3 linked regions of the Saccharomyces cerevisiae S288C genome follow. Changing the gene in region 2 together with the main gene of any one other region gives a genetic interaction. Each region holds a gene or a part of one and is shown on either strand. Other genes may lie near its edges.

Region 1 (3,838 bases), on a different chromosome or scaffold from region 2:
TGTTTACCAGTAGCTCTTCATATAGTTGTTTAATTCTATCATGTGGCAAGAATCGTAATGAAGAAGAATTTTGAACACTTGGAATGATTTTAAAAACTAATACCTTCATAAATAAAATTCTAATCAAAGGAAATTCGTTTTCAAAAATCAATGACTCCCAAAAATCACTTAACAGCACTTTTACTATTTCATCGCGGTCCTCAATGGTTACGTGCTTCCAAATATTGAAAAGGCATAATAAAGAAACAGTCTGGCAGTTAACATTTTTGGTCCTTAACATACTCAAAAGCCCATTGTACCACGACCTCCATTGAATGAATTTCAGAGAAGGTAAACTTTCAAACTGGAAAATAATAAACTGGAGAACCTTATTGTAAATGACGTTCGCTGCAATATAATCGTACGCTGAAATAGTGGAGACATAGTCTATCAATAGAGACTCATGTAAGGAAAGCATATTTTCCAGGTATTCCGGATGATTTTCTTTAAGAATGCATCCTGAAAGGCTTCTAAGACATTCCCATAATTTGATTGTCTTAAAATTAGAAAATACGTAATCATTAATCCTTTCAGATGTAATTAAAGCATTGCTACTATTCAAACTCTTGAAATTTGGATGTGACTCTGTCACATTCTCATTTGCTATCCTTGGATTCGGCGTTTGTTTAATAATCCGCGTGAATTTATTCAAATCTGAATTCAAGAATCTAGTGGTTACATGCGTCAATAAAATTTCTGAGCCAGGTATGCATGACAATGTCGATTTTTTAATTCCTACATCTGAATCAGAGAATTTCATAAATTGAAGTATGATATACCAATAGTGCCAATAAAATGACATAAGTACAAAATCATTTTTAATATAAGAAACAATGATCTTAAAAAATTTAGTATCTTTATTTTCAAAAGCTTCAGTGCGGATCATTTGTCCCTGATCGTCGGTGAATTTATATTGTCTCTTCTTCCATGAAAACAAAGATGTTTGAATACTTGAAGAGATTTGAGGAGAAACTGTCAATAACAAAATTGTATCGAAATGAAAGTCTTCTGGTAGATAAAAAAATGCGTAAGCATTTAACTTCCCGATGAATGCTCGCAGCAAGGAAGAATATTTGTTAAGGTATTGCAGCTTCTTGTCGTTTATAGAGCACTTGTCATCACTATTTGTACGTTTAAGTTTTTTGGAGTTTTTAGAAATCAAAATCAACTTGTTTGTTATGCAATGAATGGTCAGCAAAAGATGATGTGAGTATATTTCCATGTCTCTGGATGAATGGAAAGGCAATATTATTAGTATGGTCATAATTTTGCTGAGGCACTCGAGACACACGGAAGTTAGTTCTATGCTCAAGCTCAATTCAAGGGCAGTATCTATTTGAAGCGAGGTGTCAGAATTTAGAAAGTTTAAAAGTGTGACCCACCATTGGGTCAAAACATCTCTAACCTCCAGTGTACAGTTGCTTCGTGAAGAATCACACCATTGTCTTAGAACCGTTAGTAGTTTCAAGCGTAAAAAATTTGAGGAGGATTTGCAAAATTTTGTATTTTGTTCTTTATTACTAGCTGACTGATTAGCATTGTTTATGAAATTGATAAACCTGTTCAACGATTGAAATAATTGAGTTTCATAATTGTCCATCAAGAAGCCATCTTGAGACGTAGTCTTTAATCCACATTCATATAGTTGATTATGTATGGCAGGACCCATGCTTAATGAGCAATATGATCTTTAGTGCTACAACAATGCGTATATAGCATACGAAGCACAATCGAGTTCAGAATTGTTTCTCTACCCACGAAAGATAATATTGGGAAAATCACTGGTGAAATTCTGAGATCGTTAATTTCAGTGGATTCAAAAAGAAAGAGCAGATCGACAATAGGCACTAAGGATGTCTTCTAACTTTGAAATGAAGCACCAACTGATCGTACTTTGATCAAACCATCGTTATTATATAAAAGTGACAAAAGCATTTGATCACGTGATTATAATCACATCCAACGAAACTTTCTTAAAGAAGGCGAAAAAACAAAAAAGAAGAAGATTAAAAAAAGTTGGATGGATGTTGTTTGAACGGTAAACTAACAGAGAGCGCCCCAAGGTTTTTAACAGAGATAGAAAGGGCTTTCACCGTTTTTATGCTAATCGTGCTAGCTGATAATAATCAGATATGACGGCCGAGCCTGCTACTAAGAAGATCAAGCTAGAATTAAGCGATCCTAGTGAACCGCTTACTCAATCTGATGTGATAGCGTTTCAAAAAGAAGCTTTGTTTAGATGTATAAATCGTCGAAGAGTCGACTTTGAAGCCTTGCGAAAGCAATATGAACTTTCAAGAAGGGAGTGCATAGATGTTTCCCGCAAGTTGGCAAATATTATGGCGCTGATAGTAACTTTAGCTAGGTTTATCGAAACATTCTGCACAGACGCCAACGAGAAGCAACTATGTAGGGAAATAGCCCAAGGCGATGAGACGTTGATAGTTCAGCGCAGTGATTCTTTCATGAAGCTACTGACTAAATATGGGAAGCCAAACACGACAGATAGTAATACTAATAGTAATGCTTCGGATCATATTCAAGAATTAACAACGGAGTTAAAAAACTTGCGGAAAAGTAAAGAGGAGCTCTTTTATGAAAATTCGCAATTGACAGAGGAGATTTCTGCTTTGAAGGAATATTATACAAATATAATTCGCAAGTATGATAGAGATGAATCCTTTACTATAAAACGTGTTTTTAAGGAAGATAAGACTGATGCTGTAAAGGAATTACGGGAAGATGAAAAAGAATCTAATGAAAACAATATAAAATCTGGAAATAAAGACTCCTCTGCAATTAATGGTGATAATACATCCAAAAAATCCGAGAAAGGTGATGAACTTGTGCAGGCGGAGGATGAACGAAAAGAAGATGCTGAGAATGAAAAATTAGAATTGGATCTGAAATTTTCTGATTTACGGGCAGAGATAAACTCCTTGAGTTCCACTATAAAAGACCTTGAAAATATCAGAAGGGAAAACGAGGAAGAGCTCATCAAAACACGTTCTGAGGTATCCAATTTAAAAAAGCAACAGATAGCAGCAGCAGACCAAGACCCAGATTTCAAGTCATATGACCATGAGTCCCTGTTAGCAAAAATTCAACATTTGACTGAACAAAACGCAGAATTATCTGAGATCAATAGTTCCTTTTTATCAAAATTTCAAGTTTTAGCCAAAGAGAAAGAAATATATACGAAGAAGGTCCGAGAAGAATTCCAGAAAAGTCTCGACTCCCTAGTAGAAATGAACAGTTCATTGGAAAAGGACGTTGTAAGAATAAGAACGGCTCGTGATGATTTACTAAGCAAAATCGCCATTTTGGAAGCTGAAAAATCCAAGACTGAAGTGTTGAGCGATTTACAACATGCAATTGATATTTTGAAGGAGCAATGGACAAAAATTGATCAAAGATCAAACGATACAAAATCCTCGTCGACTCAAGATGCATTAATAAAGGAAATTCAAGACTTAGAGAAGGGTTTTAGAGAGTTATCCGACTTAACTCATAAAAAGTACTCTGAGATTATTAATCACGAATCTGTTATATCCAAGCTTACCGTAGAAAAAACTAAGGCTGATCAGAAATATTTTGCCGCGATGAGGTCCAAAGATTCAATTTTAATTGAAATCAAAACTCTTTCTAAAAGCCTCAGTAAATCAAATGAGCTTATTCTACAGTTAAAGGACTCTGATAGATTGCTACAGCAAAAAATAGGAAATTTACATAAACAACTGGATCTTTCTCAAAATAATGAACGCAGGTTAATTGATTCCAGTAAAACAGAGACACTAAA
Region 2 (3,596 bases):
TTATAGCCATAGCACCCGCTATGACTCCAAAGGGGTTGCACAACAGAATTGTCGATACCTTGGCCAAATCATCGCCCGGCTTTATGTATCTTTTCTTTGGTAGGAAAATTGTGTTACCTTCAGCTGTCATTTGGCAAAGAACTTTACATCCAACACTTTTCAATTTGTGTATCGATATCGCAAACAAGATACTGTTCAATTGGAAGTCGTTTAACATTCTACCGAGACAAAAGATTGCTTCTTACGCAAAACTTTATTCAACGACCAGTGTAAAATCCATTGTTCACTGGTTCCAAATATTAAGATCTCAGAAATTTCAAATGTTTGAAGAGTCTGATAACATGCTAAATTCCTTAACTAGGCCTTACCAAATTGCTAATTTTCCTACTAGAACAAATATCAAGATTCCCATTCTTTTAATTTATGGTGGCATAGATTCTTTAGTTGATATTGATGTGATGAAAAAAAATCTACCCTTCAACTCCGTCTTTGATGTTAAAGTTGACAATTATGAACACCTGGATTTGATTTGGGGCAAAGATGCCGATACCTTGGTCATTGCTAAAGTCTTGAGGTTTATTGAATTTTTTAACCCTGGTAATGTTTCAGTGAAGACTAACCAGTTACTACCATCAGCAAGTCTGGTTGAGGAATTACCAAGCACGACATGGAAGACAACTCATCCAACGCATGGTCTCAGTTATAGAACTCACTCGGCAGACCGTTCTCCGTTGTCTGTACAAGCTGATGAAGCGGATGAGGTCCACAATGCTGACAATTCAAGGTTCTTAAGACGAGTGTTTTCTACTAGTGCCATAGACGAGGACAACGAAAATGAGCACCAGGATGATACAGAAGATCAAATCCATAAGGAGCAGCAAAGACGGTTAAGTGCCTATCTGGAATCATCCAAAGATTTACGACAACTAGATGCCAACTCTTCGACAACTGCGCTGGATGCTCTAAATAAAGAATGAAAAGAATGCGAGAGAAACCCTATTAAACTATTTTTTGTCTAGGATAATAATATTAGCGCTAATCTAAAAATCGATGAACTAAAGAAAGAATATACGTACGTTTTATACACAATAAATGGATTTCATAAGAAGTCCTTAATATCCTCATGCTTGTGGATACTGGAAATTAGTAAAGTAATTAACTTCCTTTTAGCATTATTCTTATTTGGCTTAAAAAGGTCACGTGAAGCTCTATTTTTTTCGTTTTTTTTTTTCACTGATGGAAGAGAAAAACCTCTACATAATAAGGTAACTTTACATATTGATTGCCAATGAGATGTTAAAAAATGGACGGTTCAGACAGTAAAATACATTTAGAAAAAAAGAGAAGGTCTTATCAGTGTATTTATTCACTGTGCATATTAGCTTTTTTTGGACTTTTTTTGTTCCATTAGTACTTTTAAAAAACCTATTTGTAAATAAAACTAATTCTAGCACTATTCTTTGCACTAGAATAACACAGGGACCATACAGCATAAATTATTTGGTAACAATGTCCTACAATAATGGCAATACTTATTCAAAGAGTTATAGCAGAAATAATAAGAGACCCTTGTTCGGAAAGAGGTCGCCAAATCCTCAGTCCCTAGCGAGACCACCGCCACCAAAGAGAATACGGACTGATAGTGGTTACCAGTCGAATATGGACAATATATCTTCTCATAGGGTAAATTCAAATGACCAACCAGGCCACACGAAAAGTCGTGGTAACAATAATTTATCTCGCTATAACGATACATCCTTTCAAACAAGTTCCAGATATCAAGGTTCAAGATACAACAATAATAATACGTCGTATGAAAATAGGCCTAAAAGCATAAAAAGGGATGAAACAAAGGCTGAATTCCTGTCTCATTTGCCAAAGGGGCCCAAATCTGTTGAGAAATCAAGATATAATAATTCATCCAATACTAGTAATGATATAAAAAATGGCTATCATGCTTCAAAATACTATAACCACAAAGGCCAGGAAGGGCGGTCTGTCATAGCTAAGAAAGTTCCAGTTTCGGTTCTAACGCAGCAAAGGAGCACGTCAGTTTACCTAAGGATAATGCAAGTCGGAGAAGGAACATATGGTAAAGTTTACAAGGCAAAAAACACGAATACAGAGAAGTTAGTAGCGCTGAAAAAATTGAGATTACAAGGAGAGAGGGAAGGCTTTCCCATAACCTCTATACGAGAGATTAAACTACTACAAAGTTTTGATCATCCAAATGTCTCTACTATAAAAGAAATAATGGTCGAATCTCAAAAAACTGTATATATGATATTTGAATATGCTGACAACGACTTAAGTGGATTACTATTAAATAAGGAAGTCCAAATTTCTCACTCACAATGCAAACATCTCTTCAAACAATTGCTATTAGGAATGGAATATTTACATGATAATAAGATTTTACACCGTGATGTTAAAGGCTCAAACATCTTAATCGATAACCAGGGGAATCTAAAAATAACAGATTTTGGACTAGCGAGGAAAATGAATTCGCGAGCTGATTACACTAACCGTGTCATTACGTTGTGGTACAGACCACCAGAACTATTGTTGGGAACTACAAATTATGGAACAGAAGTTGACATGTGGGGTTGTGGCTGCCTCCTGGTGGAATTATTCAATAAAACTGCAATTTTCCAGGGCTCTAATGAATTAGAGCAAATAGAATCAATTTTCAAGATTATGGGAACTCCTACAATAAATAGCTGGCCAACGCTTTACGATATGCCGTGGTTTTTTATGATTATGCCACAGCAAACTACCAAGTATGTCAACAATTTTTCTGAGAAATTTAAAAGCGTTTTACCATCTTCAAAATGTCTGCAATTGGCGATTAATTTGTTATGTTATGATCAGACGAAAAGGTTTAGTGCAACCGAAGCTTTACAAAGCGACTATTTCAAGGAAGAACCAAAGCCTGAACCTTTAGTTCTTGATGGATTGGTAAGTTGCCACGAATATGAAGTCAAATTGGCAAGAAAACAAAAGCGTCCTAACATACTATCCACCAACACAAACAATAAGGGTAATGGTAATAGTAATAATAATAATAATAATAATAATGACGATGATGATAAATAAGGATATATAGCCAATTGAAATAAGTAGACACAAAAAATAGATTAATAACTTATTTATTACGCGATACCCGTAAATATGATACGAACATCTAATTTCATGTGAAGCGGCCTAGTGAATAGAAGGTTTGCCTATTTTCACTCGTTCACTATACGTAACTTGGTTGTCTTTTTATGCAAGCTGTTTGTCCATCGTACCAACACCATCTCATTTCACATCTTATAAATTAGCCTGGCCACTAACTGTCTTACCTCTTATGCCTTATTGCGTTTTTCCAAGCATCTGCTCCATATAATAAATGTAACTACCTATCAACCAACTTCCATGTACCTTACCCAATTGGCCTACCAAGTTTTCGTTACATTGTTTCGACATGATATCTAGTTGTTTTGTCGTTTCCTGTAAATTCGTTTGAAGCTCTCTAAGTTCGTGTGCAAGCTGATTATACTGCCTTTGTTTGTTAGCGTTCATTCTCTTGCCTGAAATTCTTTGTGTCCTCTTCG
Region 3 (3,838 bases), on a different chromosome or scaffold from region 2:
CATGGCCTTGTTCCTTGGCACGAAACCATTCACATCACTATTATTTTCTGTTCATTTTTTTTTTTTTTTGCATCACAACGATGATAGTATTATTTTTATTTAGTATATTTAAATATATAAATATAAATATATTTTTACAAACACTGAAATTGTCCTGCCTACTAAAACTTAAGGTCAAATTTGATATCCAATTCACCAACCATGCGCTCCAACCCACCAAGGCGCCTGAATTGTGCCACAAGTAGCTCTTTCTCACGCTTATCTTTAGCATCTTTATCTTCTTGTAGCTTCTCTTGTTGTGCAATTTCTTTAGCTTTTGCGTTTTCTTCCTTTTGTATCTCCTGATAGTAAACTTTGGTCCTGGTTTTTAGCCTGCTGAAAGGATCGCTCTTTGAATCAAAGTTATTACTGTCTTCTTTTTTCACATGCTCTGCATTTCTGATGTTACTCATATTCAATTTTCTATTCTTAGAGGTCAACTCGCCTAGTTTTTTAATGTCAGATTGGTCATTTTCATGATGCTTCTCGTATACAGACATTCGTTTCTCAAAGTTTCTTAACTGAGCAGAGTATTTTGCAATGTCCTTTTCATTATTAGTCTCCTTGGCATATTGCAATTTTTCTCTCAATACAGTTTTCTCCAAGACTGCATTCGTACCAGATAGTTTTTTATTGAATTGCATCCTATGGCGAACAACCTCATCTGTAGTTTTATCAGTCAATGGTGTATTGACAAAATCCATAACCTCTTTCGTTTTGTTACTCAAAGAATGTAAAGAAGGTTTAATCATTTGCGAATTATCCAATGCCCTGAGATACCTTTGGTATTCGTCTTCGGCAAACAAACCATCACTAAAATAATTCATTTGAAAAACCTTTCTGTCTTTACCTTGGGTAACACCGAAATACTGGTTAGTATAGAACTTACCCATATTGTAAGGTTTTTGCAAGAAAACTCTCTCAATTCTCACCATACGGTAAGAAGTTTTGCCGGTACGTTTATCTGTGCCAACATTGACTCTCCCATAACAACCTTTGACTGCATCTTCAAACCCGGGATAAAAACAAAATTTTGCGACAAATGAACGACCGATCCTTAGTTTGTTGAAATCAGAAATCTCAGGCTCTCTGTCTTGCTCGTCCTCCTCTTCAGCCCACTCCACTTCTTCTCTTTTGTCGTATGTATCCCTTCTATCAAAAGGATTGTATTCTTCATCATCCCCGTATTCACTCCCTTCATCGTCCTTGTAGTCTTCTTCCCTGTAATCTTCCTCATCGTCTTCGTCTTCATTATCGCTGTAGTGACGGTTTTTCCTCGCTCTTTGTTTCTTTAATTGCGAAAGTTTTGAAGCCTTGATATCAGAATGCCCAGTAGCATGGGTTGATCTAGTGGAAGCTCTGGTCTTTCTGGAATCTTCGTCGTTCTTGGCTCTCTGTTGTTGTTCCTTCATATCTCTTCCACGTGCTCTAAAAAGTTTCCTCTCCTGGTACTTCTGCATGATTTGAGATCTTTCAAATAATAGAGTCTCACGTTCCATTTCAGGTAAGGATTCCAGGTGCTCTCTGTCGCTCTCATCCTTGTACTTTCCTTCCAAGGGAAAAGGATTAGCTTCTTCTTCTTCTTCGGAACCGTAGTCTGCATTTCCTACAGAGTAAGGGTTATAATCGTCCTCCTCATCATCATCCTCTACACTGCCGACTTCAATTCTCCTTTTCTTGGAAAGAGATTGGTCGTTGTTTTTTGCCCTTTTGGCAGATGTAGTTGTCAAAACTTGATCTTCTTCTTCGGATTCATCGGCACCAGCCAAGGCTAATAAATCCTCATCTAAATCAGACATTTCTATAGTGCTCTCAACAAATTAGTGCAATACAATTACAAACTTTGGTATCCTTCAAGTACCTTTTGTAACTTTGAATATTTTCCTTCCAGCTCGTAGTCACTATTTGAACCAATTTCAATAAAATATAAATTGTCAAAATTACAAAACCGGGTAATGGATGATAAACTTTTACAGTCAAAGTTCTATAGGTAGACATACATGTCATAAGCTGCTATCCTTACATGATTCAAGGCAGCGAACACAGGACTGGTTCAGAAAGCAAACCATTCACTTATAAAAGATATTGTTCAAAAGGTACTGGTTGAGAAATAACATAAATATGTATATACATTACTTATGTGATGCTTATTTCTTTGCACCATACTTGTTGACAGATTTACCATCTGGGATGGTAAAAAAGACATATGGCTTACCATCCTTGGGTAAAGCATCCAATCTGTAGTAGCCCTTTCTTTCGAATTGGATGATATCACCAATCTTCATATCCTTAACATTCAAGTCAGCAATGGCATCCGTGTGGAATTCTGTTTGAGGAGTCAAGAAATCTTCGAAACTTTCGTCTTCTTCCAATCTGTCCTTGGTAATCAAATGGTCGAAGTCAACTAAATCAACAGGGACGACATCTTTAGTATCAGCTAACCAAGTCAACTTGTGCTTGGTCTTTTTGAAATCACCTTCCAAATTCAATTTGGCAACCATAGAACCATCGTCATTCTTTTTAGTAATAATGACATTACCCCAGTCCATTAAAGTGACTTCTTCATCAACATTGATGACGTCAGCATCATCTTTGTCGACAACAATGTCTTTGTAGTAAATGACTTTCTTTTCGCCCACAGCTGGGTTTTTCTTGTGTTTTGGTTTCATTTCAATCTTTGGTTCTTGTGGAGCTTCGGAGCCTTCCAAGTGGATTTTAACTGGGTTGACGATAGCAGTGTGTCTTGGAGCAATTGGATCAATGACCTTCTTGTTGAAAGCCCAGATCAAGTTCCATTCCAAGTTAATGACATTTCTGGATGGACCTTGGGATAAGACGAAGTTCCTCAAACCTTCGACAGTCATACCTCTTCTTCTCACACCCCTGACAGTTGGGAACCTTGGATCGTCCCAATTTCCGACCAAGTCCTTGTCAACCATCCATTGTAACTTTCTCTTAGACAACAAGGTTCTAACGAAATTGATACGAGCGAAATCCCAAATATGGACTTTTCTCAAACGCAAAGCTTGTAACATCCAATCATATTGAGCGTTACGGTCTCTATATTCAATGGTACGTAAAGCGTGGGTAACACCTTCAATAGCATCAACAATTGGGACACAGAAATCATAAGTTGGGTAGATCTTCCAAGTTGATCCGGTTCTGTGGTGAGGGGTTAGATTACATCTGTAAATGACAGGATCTCTTAGAGTCTTGTTCAAAGCCTTGTAATCGATCTTGGCACGAACACAGTTCTTCAAACCTTCTTCAGTACCGTTTTTCATTTCTTCGGTAAAAATTCTTAAGTTCTCTTCAACAGAACGATCTCTTCTGGCAGAAGCAACACCATCCATACGTTCTTCTCTCATCTTTTCAGTTGGAGTGTCGTCACAGTAAGCTTTACCATCCTTGATCATTTGAACACAGTAGTCGTACATTTCTTGGAAGTAGTCAGATGAGTAGGTTATTCTATCACCCTTGATTCCTAATAAATCCAAATCTTCCAAAATAGAGTCTTGGAATTCTTCCTTTTCCTTCGATGGGTTGGTGTCATCGAATCTAATAATCAACTTACCCTTGTAAGCTTGAGCAAAATATTGGTTCAACAAGGCAGCTTTGGCATGTCCAATATGTAAGTATCCAGAAGGTTCAGGTGGGAAACGAGTGACGACTTCACCCATTTTGGCATCTGGCAAATCAATTTCAAAGTTAGCCTTGTGAGTTTCCTTCTTCTTACCCACATTAGCACTTTTCTTTAATTCTAGTAAAGATTTGCTCAAGAAATCGTGAGCTTCGCCGA

The links.
Region 1: mutations in CTK1 (region 2) and BRE1 are lethal when combined (synthetic lethality), as found in Saccharomyces cerevisiae (5 studies listed by BioGRID, with this or other methods).
Region 3: mutations in CTK1 (region 2) and RTF1 are lethal when combined (synthetic lethality), as found in Saccharomyces cerevisiae (4 studies listed by BioGRID, with this or other methods).

Annotation. Positions count from the first base shown.
Region 1 is NC_001136.10:324,483-328,320, reverse strand, and holds the start of BRE1 (E3 ubiquitin-protein ligase BRE1), read left to right. Parts: upstream 1-2,171; coding exon 2,172-3,838. Other genes in the region: AHK1 (Ahk1p), read right to left, coding at 1-1,708. UniProt on the Saccharomyces cerevisiae protein: E3 ubiquitin-protein ligase that mediates monoubiquitination of histone H2B to form H2BK123ub1 in association with the E2 enzyme RAD6/UBC2.
Region 2 is NC_001143.9:181,449-185,044, forward strand, and holds CTK1 (cyclin-dependent serine/threonine protein kinase CTK1), read left to right. Parts: upstream 1-1,509; coding exon 1,510-3,096; downstream 3,097-3,596. Other genes in the region: TGL1 (sterol esterase), read left to right, coding at 1-977; HSK3 (Hsk3p), read right to left, coding at 3,355-3,564. UniProt on the Saccharomyces cerevisiae protein: Catalytic subunit of the CTDK-I complex, which hyperphosphorylates the C-terminal heptapeptide repeat domain (CTD) of the largest RNA polymerase II subunit.
Region 3 is NC_001139.9:39,498-43,335, reverse strand, and holds RTF1 (RNA polymerase-associated protein), read right to left. Parts: upstream 1,839-3,838; coding exon 162-1,838; downstream 1-161. Other genes in the region: TAD1 (tRNA-specific adenosine deaminase), read right to left, coding at 1-29; glutamate--tRNA ligase GUS1, read right to left, coding at 2,187-3,838.